Linked DNA regions of Arabidopsis thaliana. The protein of the gene in region 1 purifies or fractionates together with the protein of each later gene. This does not show direct contact. Each region holds a gene or a part of one and is shown on either strand. Other genes may lie near its edges.

What was found. The genes of interacting proteins can lie anywhere in the genome.
Region 2: the proteins of SQD1 (region 1) and AT2G35040 fractionate together in Arabidopsis thaliana (co-fractionation; one large-scale study listed by BioGRID). This does not show direct contact.

Annotation. Positions count from the first base shown.
Region 1 is NC_003075.7:15,931,794-15,939,473, forward strand, and holds SQD1 (sulfoquinovosyldiacylglycerol 1), read left to right. Parts: upstream 1-3,579; 5' UTR 3,580-3,749; intron 3,750-4,219; 5' UTR 4,220-4,257; coding exon 4,258-5,289; intron 5,290-5,371; coding exon 5,372-5,773; 3' UTR 5,774-6,040; downstream 6,041-7,680. Other genes in the region: ZIP9 (ZIP metal ion transporter family), read right to left, coding at 810-1,265, 1,896-2,557, 2,678-2,720, 2,811-2,825. UniProt on the Arabidopsis thaliana protein: Involved in the biosynthesis of sulfolipids found in thylakoid membranes. Converts UDP-glucose and sulfite to the sulfolipid head group precursor UDP-sulfoquinovose.
Region 2 is NC_003071.7:14,764,378-14,770,158, reverse strand, and holds AT2G35040 (AICARFT/IMPCHase bienzyme family protein), read left to right. Parts: upstream 1-1,840; 5' UTR 1,841-1,889; coding exon 1,890-1,997; intron 1,998-2,071; exon of another isoform or gene 2,072-2,090; coding exon 2,091-2,190; intron 2,191-2,287; coding exon 2,288-2,363; intron 2,364-2,466; coding exon 2,467-2,563; intron 2,564-2,719; coding exon 2,720-2,822; intron 2,823-2,929; coding exon 2,930-3,063; intron 3,064-3,159; coding exon 3,160-3,337; intron 3,338-3,422; coding exon 3,423-3,580; intron 3,581-3,710; coding exon 3,711-3,920; intron 3,921-3,990; coding exon 3,991-4,338; intron 4,339-4,427; coding exon 4,428-4,554; intron 4,555-4,660; coding exon 4,661-4,812; 3' UTR 4,813-5,014; downstream 5,015-5,781. Other genes in the region: AT2G35050 (kinase superfamily with octicosapeptide/Phox/Bem1p domain-containing protein), read right to left, coding at 1-451; URED (urease accessory protein D), read left to right, coding at 5,114-5,212, 5,298-5,363, 5,449-5,523, 5,622-5,666.

The sequences.
Region 1 (7,680 bases):
TTATGCACCAAATCCTTGAGATAATTTACAGGAATTGTGGGATATGCTGTAAAAGCACGAGATAAAATTTGAAAGGAAGGGAACTGAAGTGGAAGAGATTGGGTATCAGTGGACAAAAATGTTTGTCACCTTTATCACTCAGAAAGATAACAACAAATAAATATATATATGGCAAACAAATTTTAATTATTTTGGTTCACATGAAAATATATGATAAATTAGGTGGCGGAATGCGTTTCACAGAGAGTTTATCTCCACAAAGAAAATTTTAATTAAACAGATAAATATAGGGTTCGTCTTTTTCTTCATCATGCATGGGAACCATCGTCATCCATATATATATATATTCGACAGAAAATGAAATATTATAGTTTTCGACCTTCCAAGAATAATATATCTTAAAGATCGTGGAAAAGATTACTCATGAGTCATGACCTACTCTTTTTAAAAACACTTAGTTCATATATATGGTTCTATTATGGCGTTTCTTGAGCTAAATCAAAATGAAGGATTAGAATATGCTCGAAAAGGCGTCAAGAAAATCTTTGGATTTCAGTTGCATACTTGCTTGTAAAAACTAATTGTATTTGTTTTTGTTTTTTGTTCAAAAATTAATTATTTGTTTACCAGCTACAAAAATATATAACATGATTGATAAAGAGTGAATATCTAATAGAATTGATTACAAACATTATTTTGAAACAAATAGAGTGATAGGCATACCTATAATAATTCTGTCCAAAAGAAAAAAGAAAAAGGCATGCCTAAATTTATTACTTTCATAAACAAATAGTAATAATGAAAAGTGATCAAGCCCAAATTGCAAGAGCAGACATCATCCCAGCTCCAAGAAACAAAAAGCAATAAGAAACAACTTGAACTCTGAAATCAACACTCATCTTCTTGCTCAAGAAATCCGCAGCGATCAAATCCACAAGCGCCATGTACACAAGTATCCCCGCAGAGAGAGAATCGAGCACTCCTTCAGCCACCAATGCTGCAACGCTATAAGAGTTGTAAGATGAGGCAATGGCCGTTCCCACCGCTACACCGATCGGAGTAGTGATGGCGAAGAAGAAAGCCATCATGGCAGATCCACGCGGGGTTAGTCTGGCCTCTGCGACGCAGCCACCGAGGGCAAAACCTTCGAAGAATTGGTGGAAGGAAAGAGCGAGAAGGAGAGGACGTATGGTGCATGGGCTATGTGATACTCCAAGCGATATTCCTATGATTATTGAATGTGACACTATTCCCATTTCAAGTATCTGAATACAAAAATATAAGGGTATCATCAATTGATTTTGTGCATCGACACTATACAAGGAAATTATATAAACGGATTGGTTTGACTAAGTCACATAACGTCAAAATATATTAACACACACACACACACCAAAAAAAAAAAATGTTTCCACAATGCGTTTAAGTCGTCATTTGTATCTTTGGAAGAAAACTTAAATAATAGTATGATATTTTAGAATTATCTTATTTTTTCGTTTTCATATTAATAATGTTTTGGTAGAATGAACATGAAGTAGTACTATATATAATAGTTACGAAGATAACATTAAATAATTACTTAAACAAGCAATAAAATAAATTTTATTATTTTTTTCAATAACAAAATCTATATAGTGATTAGCAACTAACTAAACTTGGCATTGTAAAACTTTATAGTTGATTACTATAACAACTCTAAAACAGCTTATGCAAGTCATGTACAGTTATTAGAATTCATCCAATTGACTTGGCTACATTGTATATGAATGAAGTCAACTGCATTTGAAATAAATAAATCTTATTAGCATTAAAGAACTCAAAACTTAAAAGTCAGAGCTTACGAAAAACAAAGTCAAAGTCAAAAAACATATGAAGAAAAGAAAAAGGTCGTTTACCTGAGAAACAACAACGTGCCTCACACCACTGTCCAAGCCTACGTCCCCGTGGCCGTGGCTGTGGCCGTGTCCATGACCGGAAACACCACTTCTCTTAGAGAGAGCCTCAAAACCTTCGGCACCCATGGAGAGGCTATGACGGTGATGCTCCGCGTGAGCCCGCATCCCCACGATATGCAACGCCCCTCCATCTTCTTGATCTCTCAGAAAACCCGATTCAAGACCTGGGTCAGACATAACCGAAACTTGCGTACCAAGCGACTCGACGGACTGGTTCATCATCTTCTCCTGTTTCCTCTCGTAGTATCCCGTGATCATGAAATCCGCGAGCAGAGTAAGAAGCGCCGCGACCATGGCGAAGAATTCTGGAAAAGGGAACATTTTCCATGGAAACTCCGGCAGACATGGGTCGGACAAAGCTTTGGATCCGCCCGAGAGCATGTGAACGAACCCTGTTGCGAGGATAACTCCTGCTGCGAACGCTTTGGCTCCCCTCATTAAGCCACCGTTTAACGGAAGTAGGGTTCCAACTAGAGGAATCGAGACTCCGGCAGCTCCGGAGATAAGGATCGACGCCATAGCTGCGAACTTGAGGGTAAGAGCAGCTGCGTCATCTCGGCACGGGTCTGAGTCGCCCGAGTCACAGCTAGTTGTGAACGACTCTGTTTTGTTACATGCAAAAATAAATTGAGTTAACTTTGCTAAGAAAATCTCAAAATTTGCATTTAAGTGTGTTTAAGAGCGAAATGAAGTAATTGCTTTGAGATTTGAAGTGACAATACCTGTCAAACCAGATGATAATGGTCGAAGAAACTGCCAAAAATCCTGAAAACATTATGAGGCAAAATTATGTGAGGAAACAGGATTGAAGAAGCAAAATAACATTAAATAGATGAAGTGGAAGAAGTTTCAGACCTGTAAGAGAGACATTTACTAAATCCGATTAGGCGATTAAACTTGTAGAATTATATAAATTATTGCCAAGGAAACCAGCAAGCTAAGTATATATGGGTTATTAATATTATGGAGTTGTCTGTGTGTTTTATAAAGAAAGATTGGGAGAATGTCAATCAGTGCGAGGGTTTGTGTGTGCGTGCACGTACGTTAACAAGGTCACATGAGGTTCACGGGAATCAAATGACCATAGAATGTCGTCATTTTCATCTAGTACCCTCATTGACAAGAATATTAAAGTTTGGAAGATAATAACTACGAGAAAACAAATATAGAATTAGAGATGAGATGTATGAGAATGTTTTGTTATAATTGAAGTCTTTGTTCGTATCTTGCATCAGAAGTATGACTCTTGTTTGGTCAACTTGCAGAAAAATGACTATTACAATGCGAAATACTAGTAATGTTTTGCGTCTTAATAAAATTTCATTCAAAAGATTATGTAAGTTAGGTTTGCATTTTACAGTTGATTTTGTTTTTCTCCTATCTCATGATTCTCTGTTTTAATAATTAAAAGTTAAAATTTAGAAAATAGCCACAAACATATTCAAAAAGTATATATTTGGGCCAACCGGCCCAGTAAGGGAAGAATGTTCCTTAAGTTGCCTAAATGAGCGACTGAGAAACTGGCCCACAAAGGCCGGACCTGTATCATTCACAACCGGAAAACTTTAAAACTAATAAACCAACGTTCTTAAAAAAGCGACACTTTGGGCCATAATTTGTTGGGAAGGGAATAAGTAAGAATATGCTTTGGGCATATCTGATGATTTATATCTGTCTCATCTCATCTCTCATCGTTCCGGGAGAAGAGAAGAGAGACCCATCCCTCACTTCAAAGTTCAAAGTCTCGAAGGATCTTCTCCAACTCTCTCTAAACAAGATTCCAAATTTTCAAAGGTAAGCAATCGTTTCTTCTAATGAATTTCATTTCTCCGGTTTTGTAAGTTGAGTGATTTCGTTTTGAAGAAACTCTGAATATGATAGGAAATCAAAATTCACAGAGTTTTCATTCAGTTGGGTTTTCTCTGAATTTCATCAATGTACTTCTTTCTTACATTTACTTTAGTTGATCAAATAAATATCCAGTCTTTGACAATAGCTGATTTTCAGATTCGATAAAAGACTTCAAATTTCGTGTGTTTTGATTCTTCTCTTGTTATGGACGTAGCTGATTTAGGGGGGGGGGTGTGAAGATAAAGTTTCGATTTCTATTCATGTCTTTTTGGATTTTGATTTGAATTTGAAGTTAAACTAGAGAAAATCAGCTGAATCCTTACTTGTTATATGGTATGAAACATCTACTTGATATGTCTTGTTCTGCTGAACCAAATTATGTCTTGAAATCTTAGCTGCTTTTGTTTTTGCAGGTGAATTTGTTTGATAGAATCAAGAACAAACCTTTAAAATGGCGCATCTACTTTCAGCTTCATGCCCTTCAGTTATCTCACTTAGCAGCAGCAGCAGCAAGAATTCAGTTAAGCCGTTTGTTTCAGGGCAGACCTTCTTCAATGCTCAGCTTCTTTCAAGATCTTCTCTCAAAGGACTTCTCTTCCAAGAGAAGAAACCGAGAAAAAGCTGCGTTTTCAGAGCAACTGCTGTACCTATAACCCAACAAGCACCACCCGAAACATCTACCAATAACTCATCCTCTAAACCAAAGCGTGTTATGGTCATTGGTGGAGATGGTTATTGCGGTTGGGCTACTGCTCTCCACTTGTCCAAGAAGAATTACGAAGTTTGCATTGTTGACAACCTTGTAAGACGTCTTTTCGACCACCAGCTTGGACTTGAGTCATTGACTCCTATTGCCTCCATTCATGACCGAATCAGCCGATGGAAGGCTTTGACAGGGAAATCAATTGAGTTGTACGTTGGTGATATCTGTGATTTCGAATTCTTAGCTGAGTCTTTCAAGTCTTTTGAGCCGGATTCAGTTGTCCACTTTGGGGAACAGAGATCCGCTCCTTACTCGATGATTGACCGGTCCAGAGCAGTTTATACACAGCACAACAATGTGATTGGGACTCTCAACGTTCTCTTTGCTATAAAAGAGTTTGGAGAGGAGTGTCATCTTGTAAAACTTGGGACGATGGGTGAGTATGGAACTCCAAATATTGACATCGAGGAAGGTTATATAACCATAACCCACAACGGTAGAACTGACACTTTGCCATACCCCAAGCAAGCTAGCTCCTTTTATCATCTTAGCAAAGTTCATGATTCGCACAACATTGCTTTTACTTGCAAGGCTTGGGGTATTAGAGCCACTGATCTCAACCAAGGAGTTGTTTATGGAGTGAAGACTGATGAGACAGAGATGCATGAGGAACTCCGTAACCGACTGGATTACGATGCTGTGTTTGGTACAGCACTTAACCGGTTCTGTGTGCAAGCTGCTGTTGGTCACCCACTTACAGTTTATGGTAAAGGTGGTCAGGTAAATGACTTTCTTGATCTGTTTTCACATGAAATTTCAATCGAAAAATTTGAGGTTTTGATTGAAGTTTTTCCCTTTGCAGACGAGAGGCTACCTCGATATAAGAGACACGGTTCAATGTGTTGAGATCGCTATAGCAAACCCGGCAAAAGCTGGTGAGTTCCGGGTCTTCAACCAATTTACAGAACAGTTTTCAGTCAATGAACTGGCTTCACTCGTCACTAAAGCGGGTTCAAAGCTTGGGCTAGACGTGAAAAAGATGACGGTGCCTAACCCGAGAGTGGAGGCAGAAGAACATTACTACAACGCAAAGCACACTAAGCTGATGGAACTTGGACTTGAGCCTCACTATCTATCTGACTCACTTCTTGATTCGTTGCTCAACTTTGCTGTTCAGTTTAAAGATCGTGTGGACACGAAACAAATCATGCCTAGTGTTTCCTGGAAGAAGATTGGCGTCAAGACTAAGTCCATGACCACATAAAGTGCAGACCAATATTACACATAAGGAGAGATTATGAAAGAGATGATGTGTTGTTTGGTATCTTCAAACTTCATTTCTGCAAAAGACTTGCTAGGCTTAAGAGGTTTTGTCCATATTACATTGTGCAGGTTCTTTAATGTTAGATCTTAATTTCGATGAAAATGTTATAATGTTGCCTTAAATGTTATGTAATGAGAAAAACTATATTATATGAAAAATAAGAAAATGTTAAATAAGTAACAGAAAACCATCTTTTACTTCAGTTAAGAGAATCTGACGAATATCGATCAATGGTTGCAGAAAAATTTCTTCGAGATCTTAGACGAATAAAACTGTAATTAAATTTCTTCAATAAAATCTGGTTTAAAATTTATATAAGTTACGTAATACTTTTGGTGTATTAAATTTAAAATAATGGAGAGTGGTGTTGGTGGGTCATCGTCGTTGGCTATTTTTAAAAAATATTAATGTCTTTTCCAAATACGAAGGAAACTTGTGGGGTCAAACTCTAAGGAATAGAGTGGGTTTTGTATAATTATAATTGTAGCCCTAATGATTCTCTCGTTTTTTCGTATACTATTTTTCTAAAGAACAATAAACGATTCGATTACTACTATAGTTATAAAAAAAAAGAAACAGCTTACACATATTTTCACTTTCCCCATTTATTTTGTTTGACGAAAACCACATAACCAAAAGTAAGTCGATATCCCAATTGGCCAATTCCCATTTATTTTTTAATTGAAGAAAAATATGCAATATGATTTTATTTTTTTTCCGTCAAAATATGCAATATGATTATATGAATAAACTGCACTCTATCTGGACTCTGTGTTCCGCTTACGTACGTCTATGATTTTTTTTGCGTGCTTTTCTTTGAAACTATCAAATGAATCCTTAGTGGCCGAGCTGCCACCATATCTCAGAGTTACACGTAAAAGCGTATTGGGAAAATTTAATATTCATGTTGTGCGCCTCTTAACACATTTGTATCTACGATTTTGTCTCTGTTGTTTTTGCAGCATATCCGAAAATAGCACCAATGAGGAAAAGTGAGAGAGCTTGCTGTCCAAAAAGTGTATATATTTTTATTCAATTTTTTTAATGCTACTTACAAATGATATTGAAAAATAAAAGAAACTAGATATAAATAATAAAACAAGTGGATGGAATGATCAAATAATTGAACAAACAATTCTCCATAGTTAACACTTAACACTATTCAACTTAACTGAAATTAATAGTTTGAAAGCGTGGAGGCTTTTGGTGTGGAGGCACTGAGAGTTTTCTTTGCATTTTATTGCAAATATTAATATCATTATTTACTAAACATTTGTTGGAGAGATTGTTGGTTATGATTGATGAGCTCATCATCCTCGGCCTCCATCAGTATTCATCAACTTGCGAATTAAAAATATATACAAAATAGCATAACCTTAATTTCGAAGACATGTCACATGATCTCACACAAAATTCTTAATCCCACAAACTACCACCAAGTTGTATATAGGTCGGCAAGTTTTTTTCTTTTTTCAAGTTAATTTCGGATGTATGAACGTATGTGCATACACTTTACAGTATGGTTTTGAAACTTGAATATCAAAAATTTATCTATGGAAATTACTCCTTAGCAAATGATATCTGAGTAACAAAGAATAATAGTATTTTGTAACACGCACAAAAATATGAACTAGTGGAATATATTAAAAACGATGTCTCCGTTACTTCGCCTATACTGAAACTCGTTTGAGTTTTAACAAATTAAAGGTAAAAAATATATTACGCTTCGCACATGCAAAAAATAAAAATGACTGCATCCAGATCATCCGAAGCTCTCTCGGTAAACTAGCACTTTAGTGTGAGATCAGCACCTAACATTTATTTGACATAGGTCAACCTTGACCCTT
Region 2 (5,781 bases), on another chromosome or scaffold:
TAACTGGGGCTGACTGGACCAGTTCATGATAGGTCTTATCTTCAATTCTAGAAGGGGGTTTCCTCTCGTGCTCAAAGCTCTGACGTTTTTCTTCTATGTTAAGCACTGTAGCGTTAGGGCCACTCTCTGACATTGGATGAACCATTCCCAGAGCACTTAAGTTAACAGAAACAGGCATACCACTGTGCTCACCATACACATTTGGGATGAACTGCGGTTTCATAATAACCCTATCTCTCATAAACTCAAAAGCAAATTCTTCACCGGTCTGTATTGAGTAGTTTAGCACTGGCCGAGCAGGGGTTGAAACACCATAATCTGGAGGTCGTACATAAGTGTTAACATTAGTTGAAGAGTCGTGGGAAAACCTTTGATTAATGGAGCCAAGTCCCTCATCTCTAGGGTCAGGGGCAGTATACCGAACATGTTCATAACCTTTTGCTTGATCCATGTTTTCTTTCTCAAGGTGTCTATCTATCTAGTTCATAAGCTCCCTCACAAACGCTTGTAGGCGACATATCATGATCATGACCCAAGTAAAATCTTTGCATAAGCATCCTTCGCAAATTTCTAACGTTTTGGCTGCAGAACAGGACGACTTCTATCATGAACAACTCAAACTCTCATTGAGGTGCCTGAAATAGGAGAAGAGTAACTTTACTCAAGTAGTCAAACATATTCAAGAACAAAAAAACCAAAATAGCATACGGCTAAAACTCAGAAAACCATACTATTTAAGGAACATTTTCGGTATACAAACCAATAAAACTCTTTACTCTAGCAGGGACAGATCATCCAGTACAAATATCTGACTGTGCATACTTTCCAACATGAAACTAGCTAAAATGACTACTTTCTAGTCTCTTCAAGTTTAAACTAACAGGAATCGCTGAAACTAAAATCGATCAACTTCACCAAACTATTAGCAAACCCATCGTAACTTTGAGAGAGTGTAAATCAACAGATCAAAACATAGAACTAAATCCAAAATTCAATCAAGTCCGTGAAACAATTCCAAACCTCAAAAAGGAAACAAATAAGCGTCATTTCGAACCAAAAACTGAGCTAAAAACCTCTACCCAACCAAAAAACAAAAGCCGATCAAGCCATCAAAACCACTGAAACTCTAGAAAATGCAAGATCTGAGTATCATTACCCGAAATTCAGGTGGAAACACATCGGATCCAGAGATTTTCGATAATAATGATCAAAATTCAAAAACAGCATACACCTAAAAGGAAGACGAGTAAGCAAAGAAGGAGAGAAGTAGAGAAAAAGGTTTATACCAGGAAAGGCGGCACCAGAGACTGTGAAGCGTCCTCGGTTTGACGATCGATGAGTAGGAGAAGAAGCCAAGTCCTTCCTTAAAATCTCTCTTCTAATTTTGACAATTCGAAAAACAAAACTATATTCTCGAGAAAAAAACTATTATGCCTACCAATAAAATAATTGTTATCTACTTACATTATTTAAAATTCTGAAAAGCAAATAAAATATCATATAAAACATAAGAAGCTTTCGTCATCTCCATAGTTAGTCTTTTGTAATATTACCACTCTGATCCAATAAAGTTTTATTTCTTACTAATTAGTTTACACTTGAGAATTTTGGTTTCTACTAAATTTTTTAAAATTTGGAGTTAAAATAGTTTAGTTTTATTTTTGGGGGAAATAAAAAGAGAAGCTTTATTCCAATTTTCCAAATATTCCAGGTGTAATCTAACTGTCAAGGCCATAATAATAAATACATAATTCCACCTGACGCCAATAATAAATTACATATTTTCCTTTTTTTTTTATTTTTTTTTCTAATTTATTTCCAAAATTAGCCGCAAAATCACAAAACCTAACAGAGCTCAACACTACACACTGTTTCAAAATCAGACTACTATGCTCAGCTCAGCCGCCACCGCCACCTCCGTGAGTGCTCGCTCCGGCGATATTCTCTGCGGCTTGTTTCGCAAAAAATCCGTCGCGCCTTTTCGTTTTACTCAGCCTGTGAGTTCTCCTCTGTGTGTGGACGTGTTCCTTTGTGTCTTTGTTTCATGTTCTGCTAAACTTTTTAATATTAGTGGAATTTTCAATGAGCAGGTCTATCGTACGTCGCTGTGTCCAAGTTTCGTTGCTGTTCGAGCCATGGCAGAGTCTCAGACTGCTCAGAGGAATCAGCCGCAATCCTCAGGCTCCTCTGGTTTACAATTTTTCTTTTTGCTGCAATTTCAAATTCAGTGATCGATTTTCAGTTACGTTTTAGTGATTTTCAAATAATCGGGCTTTAATTGAATCAGGGGAGAAGCAAGCTTTGATATCTCTATCTGACAAGAGGGACTTGGCTTCTCTTGGCAACGGTCTGCAAGAATTGGGGTATGTGTTCTTCACAACTCTCTCTTACTTAGAACTATACAAATTTTGGTTTTGTTTCTATCTTATATGTAAATGATTCCTTTTTTCATTGATATTTGTGTAGATACACTATTGTTTCTACTGGAGGAACTGCCTCTACTTTGGAGAATGCTGGAGTCTCTGTGACCAAAGTGGAGAAGCTTACTCATTTTCCAGAAATGGCATGTTTTTCTTTTCTCTTATGCTCGCTGCTCTTGCTAAAAGTTTTGGTCTTGTGATCTCGCTGATATTTATATTTAAGTTTTGGTTTATACCATTGTTTTGTTGAGTTTAGTATATTAAACTTAGCTCTCCTTTTTTTTTTTCTTCTCTTAAAGCTTGATGGCCGTGTGAAAACTTTGCATCCAAACATACATGGTGGTATCCTCGCTAGAAGGGATGTGGAGCATCATATGGAAGCTCTTAATGAGCATGGGATTGGTGAGTTTTGACCTTTGATTGATCCTCTACATTAAGCTTGAGACTAAGTCATTTATAGTGTCTCCTTATGTTTAACTGTACCTTTTTTTTTTTTAATTCTATGACAGGTACATTTGATGTTGTGGTTGTCAATTTGTACCCGTTCTATGAAAAAGTTACTGCTCCAGGTGGGATCAGTTTTGAGGATGGGATTGAGAACATTGACATTGGTGGCCCTGCTATGATTAGAGCAGCTGCTAAGGTAATACATATATCTGTGCATATGAGACTTTTTCTTTACACTTGCAAGATTATTTTCAAGATTATAAATGTATATTTTCTATTGTTTTTTCAACAGAACCACAAAGACGTTCTCATTGTTGTCGATTCAGGAGATTATCAAGCTGTTTTGGAGTATCTCAAAGGAGGACAGAGCGACCAACAATTCCGCAGAAAACTTGCGTGGAAGGCCTTTCAGCATGTTGCTGCATATGATTCTGCGGTTTCAGAATGGCTATGGAAGCAGACTGAAGGAAGTATGTGATTGTTTTTATGTGATCCTCCTTACACTAGTTATGGCAATTGGCAACTTACATTGATTGATATTCATGTCTTTCTCAGAAGAGAAGTTCCCTCCCAGCTTTACAGTTCCGCTTGTACTTAAGAGTTCTCTTCGTTACGGTGAAAATCCTCATCAAAAAGCTGCATTTTATGTTGATAAGAGCCTTGCTGAAGTGAATGCCGGTGGTATCGCAACAGCGATTCAGCATCATGGAAAGGTAAGAAAGTATGCTACTTTTTCTGTCCGGTGTAATTTACAGAGCAAATAGTTTTAAACTGCCATTTATATCCTTATCCTCGCTTTCAAGCCTTATTATGTTTAACTTTTCTATTTATTTCTGTGAGCAGGAAATGTCATACAACAACTATCTTGATGCTGACGCTGCATGGAACTGTGTGTCGGAATTTGAAAACCCAACATGTGTAGTCGTGAAGCATACAAATCCTTGTGGTGTGGCCTCTCGTGATGATATTCTTGAGGCTTACCGGCTAGCTGTAAAAGCTGACCCAGTTAGTGCCTTTGGTGGCATTGTAGCTTTCAATGTTGAAGTTGACGAGGTAATCAAAAGTCAAACTACTGTTGTCCCATACATTATTCAATTGTTTAGTGATCTGTAACTGTCTCTAGGTTCTTGCGAGGGAGATCCGAGAGTTCAGGAGCCCAACAGACGGGGAAACTAGAATGTTTTATGAAATCGTGGTTGCTCCAAAGTATACTGCTAAAGGTCTTGAAGTCCTCAAAGGGAAATCAAAAACTTTGAGGATCCTCGAAGCTAAAAAGAATGACCAAGGGAAACTATCGCTCAGACAGGTTGGTGGCGGCTGGTTGGCTCAGGACTCGGACGATTTAACTCCAGAAGACATCAGCTTCAATTCTGTCTCAGACAAAACTCCGACTGAAAGCGAACTTGCGGATGCAAAATTTGCCTGGCTCTGCGTTAAGCATGTCAAGAGCAATGCCATTGTGATAGCAAAGGTTGGATTTTCCTCTCTGATTCCTTTTCTTGTTTCTCTTTCTGTACTTGTTTGCTAGTAGTTTATTCTGATTCTTGGGTTGGCTCATAGAACAATTGTATGCTGGGGATGGGAAGCGGACAGCCAAACCGAGTAGAGAGTCTGAGAATAGCTTTCAAGAAAGCTGGGGAGGAAGCTAAAGGAGCTGCCTTGGCCAGTGACGCATTCTTCCCATTCGGTATATATATTTTTCTCTCCGAAACCATTCTTCTGTCTGAAATGACTCATCAATCAACAAATGTTAGCCGTTCTGAATTGGAAATTTGTTGTTGTGTGAATTGCAGCTTGGAAAGATGCGGTGGAAGAGGCGTGCCAGATGGGAATAGGAGTGATAGCAGAACCTGGAGGCAGTATTAGAGACCAAGACGCTATTGATTGCTGCAAAAAGTATGGAGTCTCTCTGCTCTTCACCAACGTTAGACATTTCCGCCATTAAGGACACATCCCTCCAGTTTTGCTCTTATAAACACATCCAAGAGAGTTTCTGAAGAAGAAAACCCACCAAACAAAACACAAAGAGTGGGAAATAAAACTGTTGTAACATTAATTTGGATTGCGTTCGAGTTTATGTATGATTAGAACCTGAGAGCTGTTCCTACTTATAAATTTGACATTTTTCACCCAAAATCATATCTTTCTCTACATCCAGAAACTGATGAGATTTGCATATAAAATATTCAACATTTCTACTCAAACTGGAGTGAGAAAGTCGACGACAGTGTGGAGAGAGATCAGAGATGGCGACAGGGAAAGTGGTGGTGGAGAAAGTGGGAGGAAGATCTACAGCTACGAGCTGCTTCTCGAAGTATCCTCTCAAGTTCTTACTTCCTAGCAAGGTCTCCTCTCTCTCTCTACGTAGAGTTCACAGTTTCGAATTTTCAATCTTTAGTTATTAAAGTTCCGGCGACACTGAACTTTCAGGCAGCTCCTGCTGGAACTGACGTTGTCTGGATTTACAGTATCACTTATGGTGGCGGCATTGTCTCTGTATTTCCCTATTTCTCTGTCTCTTTATTAATGAATTTGCCATCGATGCGCTTGAATCAATCTAGTTCTTGTTCAAATTATGTAGGGCGATTCGATTTCATGTGAATTCACAATTGGTGATGGATGCACTGCAGTTATTACAACGCAGTCTTCTACTAAGGTTGAATCAATTTAGGGCTTTTCTCTCTCTTTGCAATGGACACTAATTTCATCCTACGTGGTTGACTTTCTGTTGATGGATCTTGTGATTTCACACAGGTGTACAAGGCAATAGGATCAAAGTGTTCTGAACAGATATTGGAAGTAATGTTTCTTTCACATTTCTACTAAAATCATTTTGAGCTTTCTTAGTAGAACAGAGTGCTATTGCAATAGAATAGGACCATTTTCTTTGATTCATGTTCCTGATTGATCTTTC